Linked DNA regions of Rhinolophus ferrumequinum. The protein of the gene in region 2 interacts with the protein of the main gene of each other region in a biochemical or structural test. Links are inferred from orthologs where the notes say so. Each region holds a gene or a part of one and is shown on either strand. Other genes may lie near its edges.

What was found. The genes of interacting proteins can lie anywhere in the genome.
Region 1: the proteins of RNH1 (region 2) and ANG are reported together in a solved structure, tested with the Homo sapiens proteins (3 studies listed by BioGRID and IntAct, with this or other methods). The link is inferred for Rhinolophus ferrumequinum from reciprocal best matches to the Homo sapiens genes RNH1 and ANG.

Annotation. Positions count from the first base shown.
Region 1 is NC_046289.1:71,768,696-71,779,223, reverse strand, and holds the start of ANG (angiogenin), read right to left. Parts: upstream 5,464-10,528; 5' UTR 5,376-5,463; exon of another isoform or gene 5,354-5,375; intron 1-5,353. UniProt on the Homo sapiens protein: Secreted ribonuclease that can either promote or restrict cell proliferation of target cells, depending on the context. Endocytosed in target cells via its receptor PLXNB2 and translocates to the cytoplasm or nucleus.
Region 2 is NC_046294.1:269,293-279,790, reverse strand, and holds the start of RNH1 (ribonuclease inhibitor), read left to right. Parts: upstream 1-5,553; 5' UTR 5,554-5,568; coding exon 5,569-5,941; intron 5,942-7,387; exon of another isoform or gene 7,388-7,657; coding exon of another isoform or gene 7,658-7,808; intron 7,809-8,013; exon of another isoform or gene 8,014-8,149; intron 8,150-9,024; exon of another isoform or gene 9,025-9,052; coding exon of another isoform or gene 9,053-9,152; intron 9,153-9,257; coding exon 9,258-9,363; intron 9,364-10,498. UniProt on the Homo sapiens protein: Ribonuclease inhibitor which inhibits RNASE1, RNASE2 and angiogenin (ANG). May play a role in redox homeostasis. Required to inhibit the cytotoxic tRNA ribonuclease activity of ANG in the cytoplasm in absence of stress.

The DNA.
Region 1 (10,528 bases), on a different chromosome or scaffold from region 2:
TGCATGCTTGCAAATGGTGACCTGAAACATTATTAACAACTACTTACAGCAAAAGGTACTACTTTCAGCTACCCAGCTGCTGACTCTATCAGCAGGTCAGGAAACACCCCCGTCAGATTGCCATGTCATTTCCTAGGAAAGGCATTTGCCCTAACACCAGAGCAGAACCCTGAGCCCAGGGAAGGGTCAATCAGAGGATTGTTGAAGACAGGATTCCAGGTACTGAAATCAGTAAGTCAGCTGGCTGTGAGGAGAGCAGCTGAAAACAGTTTTATCCTGAGGTGAAGGGAGACAGACCTAATTCCCCAAGAAGTAGATGGTTCATGGCCAAAGGTGGAATTATTGTGTACTATTATATATAGAAAAAACAGTGAAGAGCATGGAAGAATCCATGTAATGCTTGGAAGTGGGTCTGAGGTCAACTTTTACGGAAGACTGGAGGAAGAGGAATTCAAGCTTATTCTTAGGAGCTTCTCTCATTGGCAACAATGTGGATTATTCTTAGAGAATATTTTCTAGTTTCCCCTGCAGATGTACAAAGACTGTTACACAACAGGCAAATAATGTTACCAAGTGGAAAAAAGAAAAACAAACAAAACAACTTAGATCTTTTCATGAAATCAAAGGGCTTACAAATTGTTTTAATTTCTTAACATCTTCCTCAAAAGAAGAAGAAGAAAAAAAGAAGAGGATTGCTGTCATCGTCTCTCAAGTGCTATCAATCTCAAACTGTAAAACTCACACACCACAGGGGTGGTGTGTCACAGACACTCAAACACACCCATAAAGTAAATATAGTGTTTCTTCCTGGAGCACGATTAAAAAATAAAATCAAACAAATATAGATAATAACAAAGTAGAAAACAAATTTCTTATGAACTTTTAAGATTTTATTTCTTCAGAAATTTGCAGATTTGAGAATTGAAAAATATTTGGTGTTTATAGCAGGTACCATGTTTCCCCGAAAATAAGACCTAGCTGGACAATCAACTCTAATGCGTCTTTTGGAGCAAAAATTAATATAAGACCCAGTATTTTATTATATTATATTATACCCGGTCTTATAGTAAAATAAGACTGGGTCTTATATTAATTTTTGCTCCAAAAGACGTATTATAGCTGATGGTCCGACTAGGTCTTATTTTCGGGGAAACAGGGTAGTTTCTGACTATACTTTTAATTCGCTGGAGAAAATCTTAAAACACATTCAGAGCCTTTAAAAACCATCAGAGTCCTTCCCCATTGTATCAAATATATGTGAATGTCCCCACATACAATAATAAAAATGACTTTACACTATAAACTTGAAAATGATTTTTATAATTTTGCTTTTCAAATTGTTTGTCTATGAGTAACTCATTTACTTTATAATTGGCTATGATTTCTTGGCAATCATCACACATACTGAGAAATTCTTACAATTGGAGAAAAATTTGACCTTCAAATTATTCTTAAATGTAATTCATATAAATTGTAAATTTAAAAACACATGATATATTTTCATAGACATTAAATTAATTCTGAATTTTTATTTTGCGCTTTTCTTGTGTGTAAGTCAATAAACATTATTTTCATATCCAATTCTTTATAGCCCTTAAAGATGCCACAGGTCCTAGCACTAAGCCTGTAGTGTTACTAAACAGCTCTGGGAGTATGACTGTAAATCTAGAAAGACAAGGGAATCCAGGGTTCTGATGGTACATGAGAAGGCATGTAACAGAATGAGCAATGTGAGCTCTTTCTCAACAGCATTTGGCATTGATCCACCCTGTCTGTTTCATAATAACTATAGACAAAATTGGCACACTGCTGAATACCAAATTATACACTAAGAAAATTTTGGGTCATTCCACAATACTGAAATAAATTGCAGCTGAAAAAGTTGCCATTTAGCACACAGATTATAATTGGTAATAAAATCAAGCAAAAGCGTGGTCTTGGGCGTTTAGCAAGAAAGTGGTACATGATTGCAGAGGGGAGAGCCACCACTAAAGGAAAAACGAGTATTCATACATGGCCACTGCTTCAACAGAGCTGCTGGCTTGCCATGCACCCCATTTACCAAACCCTTTACATTTACATTGTGCTTTTTAGTCTTTTGGGTGTGTTTTCTCTTTCTAGTTTTTTTTGGAAGATCTCATCAAAGTTTTATTGATTTGGATTCAATTAGGTCTCTTGCTCTGCGATGGACAAATATTGCCTTCTAACGTCAAAGGTAACTGTAGAATCACGGGCTCCCAAGATCGAATAGGACCTCAGAGGTCACAGAGTCAACGCCTCTTTGCCTGGGACCAGAATCCCAGAGTTCAAAATTAGGAAGAACCAAGAGCTGGTAGTACTCAAAAGAGTCATTAGGTGGCAGTGATGGATAGAAATGTTGCCAATGTCTTCCACACTGTAGAGGACATACAGGGTCCTTGTAAAAGGTGCCCGCACCATACAGGTTGTGGAGATACTGTTGTTCATAGAAGGGAGTCTGAGGTGGCAGGCCTGTCTAGAGTCTCTGTCCAAACACTTTATGCTTTAGATATTAAGACCAAGGCCATCCCACTAGAGACAAGCGTCAAAGCAAAAGTCACAAAGCTCAGTATCTGTCCAGAGGAACAGAGCAAAATAGATACCGTATTTTCCCCCAAAATAAGACCTAACCGGAAAATAAGCCCCAGCATGATTTTTTTAGGATGTTCATAATAGTACAAGCCCTCCCCCAAAATAAGCCCCAGTTAAGATCGTCAGCCAGATGGATGCATTTAGTACGTCCGTTGCAACACACGATGGATGTATTGAATTATAAAATAATAATATTAATACATAATTAATATAAATAAATAATATTTTTGACATTAATACTTAAAATAAATGATAATATAAATTATAATTAAGTAAATACCCAAGCGGGCGCCTCTAGATGAGAGGTAATTGCCTATGTAAACAGATGATCTCCAGACTTATTGCCGAATGACCAATCAGATTACAGACACAACGCATGAATAACATGCGCACTTGATAACGAACGGACATGGTTGTGTCTAATATGAATCTTCATAATTCAATACATCGTGTATTGTAACGGACGTACTTAATGTACTCATTTGAAATAAAGAAACATTTTCTGAATTTTGGTGCCTGCAATTTTTCGTCGCTTTTGTGTGGACTATTATTCTTAACTGTCATCATTTTTGTTGCCACTCTTGTCTCCTAAGCCTTCAATTAACACTTGACATAATGGTAGATTTAAAGGGAATGATATTTTGACCCCCAGACTAGATGAGTGCAAAAAGAAAGAGCTATTCCATGGAGTACAAGAAAGGAATCGTGGAGGATTCCCAGGGCAAGAATCTTATGGCTTTCTGCAAAGAGAAGAAGTTGGATCTCCGAATGGTCCGAAAATGGCCAGCAGAGACCATAACCTCAGTCAACAGGTGGACGAGGGAAATGCTAAGAAGCGTAAGTGTGGATCAGGTCGGCAACCATTATTTCCTGAGTTGAAAAAATAAGACATCCCCTGAAAATAAGCCCTAATGCATCTTTTGGAGCAAAAATTAATGTAAGACCCGGTCTTATTTTGGGGGAAATACGGTACCTATTGCCAGTTTTCATGGGTGCTATTTCCAAGTCTTTATACATGTACTCTTGGACGGACAATTACCTGTTGACTTGTCAGTGTTTCCCACTGGTGTATAAGCAGAGCCCATATTATTCACTTTGAGTCACACTGCCTGCCTCATAGTAGACCCTCAATAACTTTTTTTTTTAAATAATTGACTTCATTTTCCTCTCCAGACCTAAGTTTGTTCATTTATAAAATGAGAAAGTTGCTAACTCTAAATTCTGAAATTCCATAGTTCTCATTAAGCGTAAGAGAATCGTGTCTAGTTTCACTAGCAAAAGTAGAGTGACTGTAGAATTACAGAGACAAGTTTGTATAAGTTTAGTTGGTGGCACAGGGCACCGGGTGGAAGATGATCGGATGACCTGTGGCCCAGTCTCACTGAGATGCATCATTTCTCAAGGCTCAGCATGTAAGCCAAGCCCATGGACCACCTCTAGTGAAGGCACTGGACTGACGCTGCACAGGGCTTCACATCCTACACAGCCACTTGCTGGTTGGAGGTTGAACCCTCACATCCCACTCTGGAGAGGTAAAGGAGAATTTTTGGTTCTAATTTGTAGAATTGCACATTCCTTCCATAACAACTTAGCTAAATTTTGCTCAGGCTTTTTATAATCTTGACTCCCTAAGTCATGCAGAAACCAAATCCCAGCCAGTACACAGCACGGCCACCAGTATCTAACATCTGCTCCCCTACTCACATCCTCATCCATGTATTCAGTTATACATTTCCAAAATAAAGAGGTCCAATGGAATTGGGAGAAAACAAGTACGAGACAGACTATTTGTAGTGCAGAAGTGAATCTGCCTAGGCCAAGTGTGCACAGCCTTACATTTGGTGGTCAAACTCATTCACACATATCCTCCCATATACAAGCACATAACTGTCAGTCAGCTTTTTGTCCGTGCAATTCGTCCCAACTGTTCTTTATATGAACTTGATCCTCTATCTCAAACCAAGCCCTTAGTCTTCACAAGAATCAATATTCTCTTTCTCTCTCCACTGACAATGTTTTATACTCAAGAGATCCATCCAACTTTACACACCAGGGAGCTAACTTGACAGTCTATGACGAGTAACTGTGGTTATAATTTCCATAAATGTAGTTTCACACTTTTTATATATTCTAGGGCAATGTCCCCCAAAGCGAAAGCATAACACTCTTTATCTCCTTTCCTTCTTTCTTCCCTTCGACCTGCAAGTGTACCTTCTTTTGATCTTGGGATGTGTACCACTTTGCTCTCACAGAGCAATCAAAACTTTTTTAAGGAAAAAAATTAGTAGGGAAGGTTAGAAGAAAACAGCTAAAAGCATGCTTTCTGTTTCTTTCCTTGTTCCATCACATATAATGCCTGTGCTCAGGGGGGCTCCAATGCTCTTCAGCAAATGGCTTCCCCAGGTCTTTGAAGATTTTATCACAGTTCAGGAATCTCTCTGCAACCTCCACTTACTCCCGGTCTCACTAAATGTCCCTTTATCCACATATATGCTAGCCCCAAAGAAATCTGTTTTCATTTTAAACTTTAGAATCTGATTCATTTTCTCCTTAATTCATTAGCTTGGGCCCAGAGGCTTTAAAAAGGAGGGCAATGGCCTCATTGCAATGGATAGATGGCTAGAAATAATATATATATATATATATGTATATATATATATATATATATATATATATATATATATATATATATACATATATATATATATATATATATATATAAACAAAGAGAACAATAGATTACCCAGGGGTGAGAATAATCTTACAAAAATCTGGAAATTTCCCTCCAACTGAAGGTGGCTTCCAGCTGTTTGTTCCAGGAGATGGGTTCCAGCTGCGTGAACCTAGAGGCCCCTATGGTTCTGATTATATAGTGATCAGATGAAATGGGTGGGGAGACTAGTTCCAAAGATCCTCAATCCTGGCAGAGACAGGAAAACCAAGGACACTTCTCTTGGACAAACAAGAAAAGTCATTCACCTTTTCTCTGGGTATGACTGGGTCAAATATTCACCCACTGGAATGGATTAGTGGATAAACATGGCCTCTTGTGCCAAAGCTGCTCTTTTTCCGATGTGCGTGGTTCTTACTCTTACCCATGACAAGACCGAGGTTTCGTTGTTCACACACACAATGATCTGGATCCAGAAGATGTTCCTGATCTCTGGACCAACTCCAAGAACTGCCTTGAAACTGGCAGAGCAAATGTGGTCTCCTAGCAGAACTGCAGAGCAAATGTGATCTCCTAGCAGAATGCTGTTCCAGTGTACTTTGTATTTACCCACATAATTTGGTTTAATGAAAGGATGCAATGCCAATAAGTAGGTTATTCCATAGATTTCACAGAACCAGGAAAGCACTTCTAGAGAAGGTTATGTGATAGCTATTAGTACCCTGCCCCTGACCTCAACCTCCCAGCTACTAACTAACCCTCTGAAATATCCTGGCTATATTTCCTGGACTTCTTCTTCCTTTCATCCTTAGCTGTGCACTAGATACTAACCCTGAGGCACTCAGTTTTCTATGCTTGTAGCTCAGTTGCAAAACTGGTGATCTCCATCATCATTGCAACACTGATAACCATCACTCCTTTGGTGGTTAATTGATCTTCTTGTCTCTCTATTAGATAGAACCCTTTGAGAGAAGAATAATTGTCTTATTCATCTCTACAGTCTTAGTTTCTAAAACAGTGATTGACTTCTAGGGCCCAAGGTCTTTTTGTTATCCCTCATGGTTTAGCAATGCTCTCTCTCTGATCTCACTGTGGAGACTCCAACCATACAAACTCTCCTGGCTTCTCTTAACCTTTTCACTGCATTAATTGATTTCAAATTTGTTCTCCAAAAGGTGTCAGAAATCCACAAAAAATAATTACAGTATTTATATTTTTAAGTAGATACAGTTAAGGTGCTACATTTTATTAAATAATTACTTTAAAGTATAAAAATTTCCTATTATTATTCATTCTTGAAAAACACAAAAATATAGGAAAATGTATATCTGCTTTCCTAAACTTCCTTTCTGGAACACTGAACTCGTGGGGTAAAGTCAAACGCCGCAATCAGTGCGAAAACGTTAAGGCTCACCAACACAATTGGGTTTGGTAGCAGTTACCAAACAAGGCAGGACTGATTCCCAGGTAGAACAAGGTGGCTTCCAAGGGTCCCAGGAACGCTCTGCTTTTAGCTTACTGATAAATCCTGAAAGCCCATGTTTATCTTTGTTTTTGAGGTATTGGTCCCTGTCCCAGTGCAAAAATCCCTAGCAGAGATTAACTCTTTAAACAGCTGTCAGTGAGTCCACACCCTTGGGCATGTGCTCTACAGCCTATCTTAAGAACAGCTTTGGGTAACTGGAAGGGCCTGAGGCTTTGAGGAAGAAAAGTGGGCAGCATGGAGAACCTGAAAAAGAACAAACTTCACCTGCTTTTCAGTTGTGTTGGGACACAGTCCTGCCTGAGCTTCACGTTTTACCCCTGTCCTCCCCTTTCTTCCCTGCATCCCCAACCGAATCCTGAGCTAAAGGGAAAATGTTGGAGGTAGTGAGAATACCAAGCAAAGTGCCACAAATTGCCTTTCCTTCAGTACCTGGTGCCCCAGGGTTACTGAAGTCTCTGGAAGGGAAGGGACAGGCCTGTCTCTGATCAGTTGTTCTGCCAAACACCCAAGTTCAAAGTCTTTTAGGAGCAAAAAGAAATAATAGGACATGGGGACCATAGAGTGAGGCCCCTACTGGCATTTAGCAGAGTGCCCAAATGCTCATTTTCCTTTTGTGGGCAGACAAACTATTTGATAGCAGTGCCTATTTTAAGTTAATCACATATCACTTTTTAAAGAGACACTGAAGAAATGAGTTCTAAAAAGCTATCAACCAGTTATTTGTTAGAGAAGCCAGCTGCCAGGCCCATTGCAACACCCCACGATTGCCTCAGCAGTCCCAAAAGACAGAATAAGCAGTCAACTCCCACAGCCTGTGGGGAGCAAGATGACTTGATCAACACAACCCTTTTCTGATAAATGACCTAAAAGCAGAGATAAAGTACCCCACTCCAACATCACACACACACACACACACACACACAAAACCACACACACACAACCACACACACACAGTCCCATGGCCTGAAACACTAGTTCAAGCACCAACTCACACAAACAGATCAGTCTCTGATTTTGGAGTTACGCAATGGTGCTGAGTAGCAGCTTCCAGCCTCTGAACACAGCCACATCCCTTCTGTGCCTCTAGGATTTCACTGGACAACCTTGGGAGAATTCACAACCTGTCTACATAGTTGACAATGTAAAGAGTCAGGGTGAATGGGGAATGGTTGCTTTCATTCTAATTGTTTTTATTCTCAGCTTGGCACAATGAAGTTATGATGAAACAGAAAATAAAGTTTTTTAGGGAAAAAAGTTTTATGACTTCATTAAAATGCAGCTTAGTGCTTACTCCTTTGTATTTCAAAATACGAAGAATTATAGTCTACGATTAATGAACATTATATCTTTGTCAGTAATTTTAATAGGTGTGAAGCAATTGCCAATTGAAAAACATACTCATATATTTAAAAAATGTTCTGACAGCTTCAACTTGAAAGTTATTCCCCTTCTTCCGAAATGTTTTTCTATGTCTCTACTTCAAGCCAATAGTTTCCTTGCACACAGATACAGGAAGCATGGGTTCTCCTTCTAAGGACTCTCGCGCTGGTGTACTTTCCCCCTTTAGACAAAGTACATATGTTTACTTCTGTCCTAAAGACTAATTGTAAAATTAGGTAATGGAGGGAAGGGGTTAGTTTTTAAGTTCCTTTATAATTCTTACATATTTTAGGTCTATGAGCATGGAACTTATTTAGTAACAGAAGTAATGGTTAAAAGAGGAGGAAGTTCACATAAGAAGGAAGGATCATGCCTCCACCTCCAGGAAGGGGAAACACTATTGACAGAGGGAGAATGAGGACAAAGTCCTGCTGACATGGCTCTATTTCCAAACAAACAACAATTAATCATTCACTTTTCAACAAACTCTGGGCTTTGTGCCCATTCTCTCTTTCCCTGCTATTTCAAAATGTTCTTCTGAGAATAACTGTTTACAGAGATTGTTCTTTGCTCAAATGCAGTATAATGAAAACTTCTAAAGAAGGGTTTTGCTGGCCTGCTTTGGTCCACTTTCTTAGTCATCTACTTTAATTTATGAATCACACTGGAAAATGCTTCCAGCAATAACTGCACGATAACCTGCTTATAACCTGGCATCTGCACTTTTGACAATAGCCAGAGCCATTCCTCTTTTCCTGGAATGGTTTTCCCCATTCTCTCTGCCAAATGAGAGTTCTTCTCCTCATTACTAGAGTATCTTCTTTTTTTATAAGAGTCCTGTTATAATACCTGGCCACTCGATGCAGTCATAGAATAAGAAAGAGAGGGACCTCAGAGACCATCTGTTAACTCCTCATTTTACAGATGTGGAATCTGAAGAATAGAGAAAGAGAAAATGTGTTGCTCAAGGAACATCTATCATTCCCAGGACTAGAGGCTTTCCAATGCACCACATAGCTTTCATATTCTATACTAGTAATTCTAGAAAATCAAGGCTAATTTTAAAAGTGCTCATGAAATTTGCCGTTTAAGAGAAAACTACTTTGAATATTTCCATAAATTCCAAAAATGCTTTTACTCCCCCTTTATCTGTTAACAAAAATTTTGCTTGAAATAAAGTGTCTGTAACACAATTATCCTCTGCACTAACTAGTTAGTAGCTGTATAGCTAAGTAGCTCTTTGAATACTTGAGGCTGCTTCTAGGAAGTTGGCCATGTGCTGTTTAGCTAATTGTGTCACTTGGGTTTCTGGTGGTTACATTTATGATTTGATTATAAGGTTCTTAATGACACAGAGGGAAGGTCTTGGCTCATTTTAGATTTCCCTAATCCCTAGAATGGTGCTGAAACTGTTTTTACTGTCCTTCCTAAATAAAGATGTCCTGTTTATGCCCATGTGCTGTTATCACTTGATGTGTTGTCTCAGAGTAAGAAAGCTGAAGATCCCAATGTTCCACTAAGAAAGCTTCAAGAAGAGGCTGTTGTCAGTGTCTGCAAGAACTTCACACACTGGCTGAAGGTGGGTTAAGGGTGAGGAGACAGCGGTGAGCAGACAGAAAATGAAAACACCAGTCCCCAAATGTCAGTTCCGCTTGCAAAAACTGGACAAGGCCTGCTTCGTAAATCTGCCGATCAATCTGGGTACCAAGCAAAGAATCCTTACTAGTTTGAGCTAGTGCAGGCCTCCCCGGTCTCCCTGGGCTTCACCAACGCGGTGATCCCCTCCAAGCTTACGTTCTAGGCAATAGGCATTTGTGCTGCCATCTCTGCCCAGCTGCAGAAAGTAAACATGTGGTGTGAATGTAGAATCGCTAACTCTACAAGTACAGCACTTTTATCTTCCTTCCCATTTCTCAGCTCCTCCAGTCCGGTTCCAAAAACTTCTCTCGGAGGAGCCCCCCAACTGCCTCTGCTAAGAAGAGAATCCCTCGGCCAAAACACCCCTGGTAAAGCTACAGACGAGGAGAAGGAGGAGCAGAAATGTGAACCCACTTAGGAACAAAGCTGCAGAAACGCGCAGGACAGTGGAAAGAGAAGTTTTTGTTTCTCACCCGCTTCTCCTTTGTATGATGGTGGGGAGCTGGTAGAAAACGCAAAAATGATGTTTTGAGTCCTGCTTTGGATCTGCGTCGGCTGAGCGTTAGTACACTGACGAGACGCGGGTGCAGCGAGGAGGTTGGGGTCGGCTGGCTAGGTCCCGGGTAGTTGGGACCGCACCCTGTTTCTCAGAAGAGACCCCTTAGCGCCTGGACCCGCCTCCCGAGAAGGCTCCACAGCAGCTCCCGCCCCATGCACAGCGGGGCGGGTCCCTGCTTATGGTC
Region 2 (10,498 bases):
GCAGTAGTCTGTTTCCTTCTAATTCTTTTGTGTTGCTTCCTTACTTCTGTGTGTGGCATCAAGTATATTCCCCAAATGAACTTGCCCTTCAAGCTGTTCAACTGTCGTCCTCCTGACACCCCCACTCCCCACTGGGCTGCTTCCTTCTTTGTGACCGAAATCCCTGACACACTGAGGCCTAACAGAAGCTCCCGCTCTGTTCCACATCCTGTTCTGACACTGGCTCCATCACAGCAGCAGGGCTGTGAGCACGTGCTGTGGTCGCTCTCAGTTTTTAATGAGGTGCCGCCAAGTCTCCTTCGTTGCCTCTCTTTTTCAAACATTACTTGGCTCTGACAGTTTATTTTCCAGGTGAACTTCAGAATCAGTCTGTAAAGTTCCTTTTAAAACTCTAGATGGGATTTTCCTTTGGGTTGCACTAGATTAACAGGCTCATTTGAGAAGAATTGGTATTTTCACAGTGTTGATTAATCTCCTTTGGGAATAGGGTATATTTTATATTTATTTCTTGGGAAGTTAAACATACTCTTCTTCACATCGCCTACACATTTATTAGGTTGGGTTCTAGGCAGCGTAGGAGCGTCACTGCTATTGTGAATAAAATCTGTTTTCTCCTATATTTCTAATTGGTTACTGGGTGCCTAGGACGCTTTGATTTTCATACATCCAGCTTGTATCCAGGCTCCTTACTCAATTCTCTTACTAGTTCTAAGTCATTTCTCTTGGACGTTCTTCATAGGTACTCATTTTATTTGCAATATCATGGGCAAATCATGGTAGTCGGATCTTTTTTAAGAGGTGGATTTCATTTCTTTATTCTCATGCTTTGCATCGCTAGTCTTCAGCACAATGCTGGACAGTGCACCAGGCCCCCGGCACGTTCCAGGCTGCAGTAGGAACGTTCCCTGGGCCTTCCATTCGTTTCAGTTTCAACCTGCAACCAAAGCTCACCCCAGGAACTGCCACACTTGGGCAGATGCTTTCTAGTCTCTACTGATACTCAAAGTCCACATCACACACAACACGGCTGGTTACCATCCTCGTAACGCAAGTCTTACTGCTCAGTTTCCATGACCCCACAACAGTAGCAGCCTGAGGCTTATCTAGGCTAGGGGGACTCTAAGCAAAACAATACAAAATTAGGTACAAAATGAATATTTATTTAGAAAAGAATCACAATTTACATATCTAAAAGGCAGATTAATACCATAAACAACAAATATTATTTTCCTAGACTTTGTGATTTTTATCCTATAAATCCAGAAAAATAACATAACATTTGTATTGTCTGAAATACCTCTATGATGTGTTTCTGCTACATTATCTACTGTATACTCTTTGAGCATTTCTTCAGATTACATTTTCATAATTTATACAGAAAGGTTGACTGAATTAAAAAATGTTTTTTATCATTGATGTTCACAGCTTCTTATTGTTCACAACTTTCTTCTTCTTAAATGTTCACATCCCGTACATTTAAAATTCACTGTAAATTTGGGAAACGCTCGATCAAATTTACTCCACATACAAGGTTCCACTTGCTTAAGAAGTGTCAAATCTTAAAAGCTCTTCAAGCGTCTCTGAAGCAGCTCGCCACCCAGGCCCATGTGGGTTGTGTGACCAGCTCGCTCGTCACTGTCGTCAGTATGAAGTGTCAAATCCGGGAGCAACACACATCTCTTCCCAACACGCTCATCGCCTCCTCCTGTCTCCACTAATGAATTACCCAACAATTCCAGACCCTCTTCACCTCTTGTATTTAACATTTGTTTCTTCCTCTTAGTGAATGGTACGATCTGAAAAATTTTCTATTATAGTTTGTGCCTTGATGTCTCAATAATTTCTACTGGTATCAGTGGTCATTTCTACTACTTTTTCATATTTTATTATCTAATATTTCCCTGTTCTTTAAAAAACAAACTTAAAGGTGGCAAAAGACAGTTTGTCCAAAGTAGGAAGGTGTAGTTTCTTATTTATATTGAAATGTTGCAAAAAAATTTGTACAAATGCAATGAGGATGACACATGCTTAACTCGGGTTTTCCACATCTGTGCTCCCTGTGGAACATTTCCCACATCTGAGACACCCTGTACTCCTGGCCAGAGAGGAAGCATAATGGAGGAGTGGAAAGAGGCTTTAACTCGACAACATATGATGATGGAACCCTTTGCTAGGTCCCTCTTGGTGCCCTGGGGGGGCCTGTACAAGTGAGGGGTGCCAAACCCCACTGGCTTCAGGCTGAACTGGCACCACCCGTTGGCCTCTCTGGGCCACTGGCAGCTGTCCTCGACCCCTTAGTTGACAGTGAATGCTGGATCCCCTAGTTGTCCAGGGGTCAGCTCTGGGCCTTCCCCCCACAGCATTAAGTACCCACACCAGGTTGTGATGGCCGCCACTCAGTCATCTTGAAGCCCAGTCGGTAAACCCCCGGGTGTCTCACGGGCATCCCCAAATTACTATGCCTAAAACAGTTCCAACCCACCCCAAGGTGGTCCTCTCTCAGTCCTCCCCTCTCGTAAACAGCCCCACGAAACCCTCAGCTACTGAAGCTGACACTCTGAAGTGTCCCTTCCCCTCACCCTACAGCCAACCCATCACCACCTTCAGTCCACTGTGCCTTCAGAACACTGACTTCTCTTTCCCTCTCCCCACTGGACACCCTGATGGCCTCCTGCTCGCCCCTGCCCCTGCTCTCTCACAACTGAGCCCTACCTGTGCCTCAGCAGCCAAAGGCCGTCTGTACAACTCACAGGCCGGCCGGCCCCACTGCCACCCTTGCTGGACCCGCAGGGGTTCCAAGAAGATGGGTGGGCTCCGTGAGGCCCCCTAACTGACCTTCATGGCAGCCACTCTGCACCCTGTAACTGGAGTGGTCTGACTGTGCGCTCAACACCCAGGCAAGTGGCGGCTCAGAGCAGGTTTGATTTTAATTAGAAAAGGAAATCAATGTGATGTTTCTTACACATTGGTGTCATTACCAGCTCCAGTAAGGCCTGTGTACTGAACAGAAAATCAATTCCCCTTTCTGGCCTCCCCAAGAGCCTGGGGCCTGCTCTGTTCTGAGTTGCTAACTCCATGTCAGCCACTCTCACATGCAAAGACACTGTGGGTCATACCTGTTTCTCAGAAATACCTATTGCTGAGCTTCCCAAGGGTTTGGAGTAGAAACCCAACTACAGGCTGCACTTCGTACTCCTGAAAAGAGGGAGGGTCCCATTTCCTGAGATGGTGGAAGACAGGATGCAGGACACCCCTCTGCTGAGAACTAAAGAGCCGGGTACAGTATTAAGACAAAACCCCACATGCCTACTAGAACTGCTACCGAGGCAGTGAGGAATTGTGAGGCTAACACCCAGAAGAGGGGTCAGCCCCAGGCGAATCACCAGAAGCATCTGCTGAATCAGGAAACAGTAGCTGCAAGGCTGAGAAGCTGACCAGAACTTTCTACAGATTCCCAGGGCTGCAAGAGAAGAGTGGATTTAAAGGCCTGTGTGAAGAGGATGGGCCTCCTGGAGGTTCCCCAGGCTATGGGTTGGATCCTGGAAGAGCTACACCCCAGAGAAAGAGTAAGCAGGAAACAGACCAGCCCCAGTAAGAACTGAAGCTGGACTTTAAGTGATCCCAACCCCGTCAGGATTAAGACGCTGTGATGATTGCTAGTGGCCTAACCTAGCCGTCTGCTGTGGAAGAAGAGAACATCATCCAGGGCATCGTCCAATCATCAAATTCTCTGATTTCCTAAACATAAAACGTGCAACACGCATCCATAAAAAGTAATCAGGCATGCCAGGAAGTAAGATGTGATGAAAGAGAACAGGGATGCAGATAATGGAGTGATCAGACAAGGACTTTAAAATAACTACACTTAATGTGCTCAAGGAGCCAAAAGACGTGATTCCCAAATTTAGGGAGACCTGGAAATAAAAAACAAACAAATAAATGAAAATTCTAAAACAGAAAAACTAAATTTAAGGACTCAATGAATGGGTTTGACAGCAGATTAGATAAAGGAGAATTAGTGAACTAGAAGGCAGGTCAAAAAAATTAGAATGCAATAGAATCAAAAGGATATACAATCTAGTAAAGAGCAGAAGAGACATGTGGGATACAGTGAAAAAGGCCAAGCATATTTATAATTGGAGTTCTAGATGAAAAGCAGAAAGAGAATGGGAATCCAACACATCTAAAGAAAGAAGAGCTGCAAATTTCCCAAAACTGAAAAAAGATACCTACAGGTTCTAAAAGCACCATGAGCATCGAGAAGGATAAATGCAAGGAAAAATACATCCAGGCACAGTACAGCAGGACCGCTTATCTGCAGGGGATCCATTCCAAGGCCCTCCGTGGACTCCTGAAGTCACAGACAGTACTGAACCCTACAAACACTGTTTTTTCCTATACATATATACCCATGATAAAGTTTAATTTATAAATTAGATACAGAAAGAGATGAATACCAATAACTAATTGGTAATAAAATAGATCGATTATAATATACTGTAATAAAAGTTATATGAATGTGGTCTTGCTCTCTCTCAAAATAGCTTATACTGTACTCACCTTTTCACTTAAAGCAAGCATTTTATGGCCTTCCTTTGGCACATCTGAATTCCCAGCATTACTAGTTTTACGCTTTGGACCATTATTAGTAAAATAAGGGTTAAACACAAGCAATGCGATACTGTAACAGTCGATCTTATAACTGCGAAGGCTACTAAGTGGCTAATGGGCAGGGGGTGTTTACAGCACGGAGACACCAGACAAACGGAATGATTCACATCCTGGGAGGGGCAGAACGAGATTAGAACAGCGCACAACTTAAACCTCATGACTTGCTTATTTCTGGAATTTTCATTTAATATTTTTGGACCATGGTTCGTCACAGGTAACTGAAAGCACAGAAAGTGAAACCTTGGGTAAAGGGGGACTGCTGTATAGAACTGCTGACTGAAAATAAAGAGAAAATCTTTAAAGCAGCCAGGAAGACATGCCTTCTTCAAAGGAGCAACAATAAGACTGACAGAAAGTGTGGAAGTCAGAAAACAATGGAATAACATCCTCAGAGTGCTGACAGAAATAACTGCAAACCTGTAATTCTATACCCAGTAAAAATGTCCTTCAAAAACAGAGGACACACAAAGAAATTTTCAGAGAAACAAAAACGGGTAGAATCCATCACCAGTAAACTTACATACAGCAAATGCAGTACTGGATGGAAGGTATCCTCCAGGGTTTCTAGCTGTTCTGCTCAATGTTGAACCCTCAGCACCTACAACACGACCCAGCACAAAGGCGCTACTCAGTAAATACTGAATGAGTGCATTTAGGAAGACAACTGTCAACAGTCACTGACAATGTTACAGGAGTGAAACATGACTCAGACTACAAATGTTGCCGTAACGAATAACATTGACTCTTTCCTACAAAATCACGTCTGTCTACCTGTCTATCAAAGTACATTTCTCTCCAGCCCTACGACGCGCCGCAGAGGCCTGTTGTGCAAAATCTTGAGACCTAGACTAAGACTTGGCTCCAAGTCACGGAACCCACGTCCTGCCCGCCGCGTTAATGCCACGACCAGGCCCCGAGAGGCGAGCTCGAGCCCGGAGGCCGGGTCCTCACCACGTCCATATCCAAGGCCCGCTCACCTCACGCGCCCGTCGGTCCATCAGTCCCAGCGCAGCCGCGTGGGAAACGGGGAGGGCCACGCCTGGACCACGACTCCGCCCCACCACCACGTGGGTGCGCCGAAACCCGCCACTTCGCTACGCAGAGCCGGCGCCCGCCCCACGCGAGGTCCAGCCTCCGCCGACCAGACCACGCCCCCACCGCTCGTGGCGACCCGGCAGACCTCGCCCCGCTAGGCCCGCTCCATCCCCCCGTCCTAAGTGGCCGTCTGCCTCCTGGTTACAGGCGAGTGACAGTCCGCCGTCGCCTCGAGGTCAGTCACTCCCGCAGTCCGACAGCCCGTGCGCCCGTCCGACGGCCGGCCAGCCTGGGGCCAGCCCTTACCAGCGCCGGCTTTGGTGGGGTCGCCTGCGGACGCGCGCCAGCTGCTGCTGCGGCCCTGCTGCCACGGCTGGACGGGCGCTCGTGAGGCGGGGCGAAGGCGGGTAGGCGCGGGAATTGTGGGGACCGGGGACACCCGGACCGGCACAGGCGAGGTGGGGCCGCGCACGCTGAGGCCGCAGCGCCGCCCAGCGGACGTCGGCGCGCACGGAGGACGTCAGAGCGCCCGAGTGCGCCGCCGCGCGTGCGCACCCGCCACCAAGCCTACTCCCGAGGCACGCTGGGAGTCCGGCGCGGAGGCGTCGTCTGCGCTTGCGTGGTCCGCGATCGGTGGGTCTTCCGCAGCGCGCTCGTGAGGTCCACCCTGATCCCCTTGTCAGTTGGTGCCCAGCAAGCTACTGTCCCAGTTGAGTCACACTTTACTTTATTCCCGCAAAGAACCGACGACCCCAGCAACCAGTGGGGTCCTCATCCCACATCCGCAATGTGCTGCCCCCTGGCGGCCACGAAGATTAGGCCAGGTCTGCCGTGAGCACTGCGACGTTGGTGGGGGATATTCCAGGCCCGTCCCAGCCAGTGTGCTGTCGCTGTGAGGGACCTGCCTGACCCTGCCCCGCCACTCCGGCATTCCGGATTCCCTTTTATTATGCGTTATTTCCCTCCTTTGCACTTCCCACATTCTAAATACTATTAATTTACTTTTGAGTTCCCTTCGTCACTCTGGAGCTTGAGCTCCACGAGGGCTGGCTGAGACCTTTGCCTTGCTTTGCCCTTGGATGTAGCCCAAGAACGGTGCCTGGCACACAGTAGGTGTTCAGTAGCCGTTGGTTGAATTGATGAATTCCTGAGCGATGAGGACTCGTGGAACATCCCTGTTCTAACAAGTGTACAAGTCAGGAGGGGACGCTCTTGAATAAGTGACTGCAGCCGCTTGACAGACACGCGCGGCAGCTCTGGGCGCCCACGGAGGTGACCTGCCAAGGCAGTGTCCACCTCAAGAGTTGTTCAAGCATAATGCTATACGTCCTGATGTGCAAGTTTAAAAAATTAAGCAATGCACCCTCCGAGGTCGTTCCGTGTCAGTATAGTTTTGTTACCTAGCAGAGTATGGATGTGTCGTAAATTATTTAACCATTTCCTGCTTATAGACCTTTAGATTGTTTCCAGGTTTGGACGGTTACAAAAGGCTGCAAAAAGACGTTTTGAACGTGTCTCCTGCGTTCATGCATGAATAGGTCTCTTGATTGATACGGCGAAATGGGTGTGTGCGTGTTTTACATAAGACACATTGCGCTCCCAAAAGCCTGACGAATTAATTACAGTCTCACCCATGTCAGCACGTCCACAACAAACAATCGTCAATCTCTCCCACTTCCAGTCTGGTAGCAAAGAAGTGTCGGGTATTTTGTTTCTGCCCCGGAACCGGCCTGGTGCTGGGAGGAGGCGGAAGAAGGGAGACGCGCCGCGGTCTCGGTGGGGGTCGCCCCCTCCCGCGCGCCTGCGCCCCTCTTGGCGAGCTGGCCCGTGCCCTGCCTGTTCTGGCAGATAAAGCCGAAAGGCCCATTGGGGCCAGAAAGTGGAAAATCATATGTGGACGCGGAGCTTGACGCTGGGCTCCGCGGAATGCGGCGACACTTAATTAGAGGCGATGGCTCGGCGCGCGTCTCGGAAAGAGCCGCTGGGACAGGCCCTCCCCGGGGCCAGTGCCCGCCGCCCCGCCGGGACCCCGCCCCGACCGGCGGCCCCGCCCCCAGTCCAGGCCGCAGCAGCTGGTCGGGTTTGCGGCGGCGCGGCGCGAGGTGAGTTGCAGATTCTGGGGTTCCCGGGGTTCGAGGGTCCTGGGGTCCGAGCGGGCCAGGTTGCGGGGGACCTTCTGCGGCGCCCCCTGGCGGAGCGGGCGAACTCGGGCGACACTGCGGGCGTGTTCTGGGGCCCGAGAAGGGCGCGGCCGGGCGCCGGGGACCCTGTCCGAGCGCCGTCTGAGCGCGGCCCGTTTCTTCCTAGAGTGACCGCGCCGACCCCAGCCCGAGGCCACCCGGAAACACGCGGAGCCTCGGGCCGGCGCGGAGGGCGGCGGCGGCCCTGGGCGGCCTCGCGCGGACCCCCGTTCGCTCCCGGCTGTTCCCCGCGCCTCGCAGAGGTAACCTGCGGTCCAGGGCTACCCTGCTCGCGGCTCAGTGACCCGGAAGACATAGGGACATAGGCCGTGGGCGCTGCCCCGGTGAAGGCCTAATCCCATCTCGTGCCCTCAGGGCAGGTCCTGCTGAGCTGCTAGTTGTCACACTTGAAACCACTGATTAGGGGCGTTGTTCTGCTCCTGGACCCCAGACTTGGGACCCTAGGAAGCAGCCCAGCTGGGGGACTGACTCCCAGTGAGGCGGTGGGCCTGAAATGTGCTTGTCCAGGTTTAGATTAGGGGCCTTTAACCGGGGCATCTTTTGGGCGATGTTGCATGTTTTCATGGGGTTCTCAAAGGGATCATTGAGCCCCAGAAATTAAGAAATGTCTTCCTGGCCCAAAGGCCCAACCAGGGGGACACCCCAATGTCTGGTTAAGCCTGGGCCCAGGAGGGCTCAGAATCAGCAGGCCGGTCCATGACTGAAGATTCTGAGTCAGGGTTTGGGTGACCACACCCTGGGCTCCCAGCAGGGGCGGATACGCTTTTGCTCACATGCTCTGGCTACGGATTGGGTAGACTCAACTCCTCTGTGTGACAGTTGGGTGACATGGCCAGTCCCAGATGCCCTCACCTCAGTTTCAGCAGGCCCATCTGCTGGGATCAGCAAACATGAATTTTTCCTGCTGGCCGTCACTCAGGAGTGGAAGTGGAGCATTGGCCTGGGCCACTCTCCCCTCTGTGGGCTCCATTCAGCAAAGCCAGGCAGTGCCAAGCTGGCACACAAACATGTGAGGCACTGTTCTCAGGAACCCGGGGATTTCAGGGAGCCAGGTCCTCACATGGGGCTGAGTCATTCTGTTGGGCAGGGCCATTTTAAAGGGCAGCTCAAATCGCATCACTTCCAGGACTTTCTGCAGCACCTGAATGAAAGCCAACTCCCTGCATCTCAGCACCCAGGGCTCTTCTCCCAACCCCACCTTCAGGGCCTCAGGTTACTGTGTATTCAGGCTCCGGCTGGTCCCTGGTGAGCTTAGGGCCTTTCACCTGCTCCCAGCCCGCCTGCTGGACCTCTGGCTTCCCAGACCTGAGACCGGTTGGCTCACTCCTCCCCCTCCCGTCTTCCACCTAGAAAACCCCGCCTCTCTCATCATGAGTGTGGACATCCACTACGAGCAGCTGAGTGACGACCAGTGGAGGGAGCTCCTGCCTCGGATGCAGCAGCAGCAGGTGGTCAGGTAGAGACGCCCTTGCCCACGCCCTTGCGGGGTGGCCGGTGGGCTGGGGGCCCACGAGTGGGCGTGCTGGGCTCTGAAAGCTCTCAGCTCGTGGACACACAATGTAGACTCTGTGTCACATGGTGTGAAAGGTTATTCTTGTATTTTACCCAACCATTTAAAAACGTGAGCCTGTTCCCAGGTGGGCGGAGTGGCCGGCCAGGGTCTCTGGCTCGGCTCCTTCCTCAGGGACGCAATCACGTCAGTTGGCTGCGTGCAGGTGTGGCTTGTCCCTTCGCTGCCCGTTCTCACACAGCAGTTCCTCAGGCTTCACAACAGATACCTGCCTGCTTGTCTTAAACTTTTGGACGTAGATTGAGGTTCACAGAAGAGTTATGAAGATGCTTTGGGGGCTCTGTGCCCCTCGTCCCGTGTCCCCTGAAGTCAGTGCCCCATCACCTGGGCCACTGGTCAAACTGAGGAGCCCAGTACAGCCACCTTGACTCCGGTATCACCAGCATTCCCAGTCAGTGCAGGATCCCACGGACCATTTGTCGTCAGGTCTCCTTGGCCCCCTCCCATCTGGGACGGTCCCTGTGTCCCTCTTTGTCCTTGGTCATCTGCCTCGTGGGTCAGCTCCAGTCTGGAGAAAGTCCCTCTGATGTCTTCTTGTGGCTGAGTCACATATTTTTGGCAAGAATACATAGAAAAGATGCTGTGTCCTATCTGGAATACTGTGTTGTGGGATGTATGGTCACGATGGCACCGTATGGTCACTGCTGTCACGTGACCACCTGTTAGGTGGGGGTCTGCCGGTTCTCCAGGACTGTTTTGCCCTTTGGAACTGGTAAATACGTTGGGTGATGTGCCTTGACTCTGCTTGTGTCCTTTTCTGTTCAGTGTCCCTCCTGAGGTTGGCCTCCCTCGGGGGGTGTTGCCAGAATGGTCATGACTGGGCCTTCGTCTGACTGGGCCTTTGTCTGACTGGGGGTTTTAGTGTCTTTATTCCTTGCCATTTTTCATTTGTCCCCTGACCCCATGTTGACTCCATCTCCCACACAGCTGGGTGGACTCTGTTTGGCTGGGTCACGCTGCCCACGCTGCTCCTTGCAGGCCTGGCTGTGCTGACCGAGTCCCTCCCTGGAGACTGGCCAAG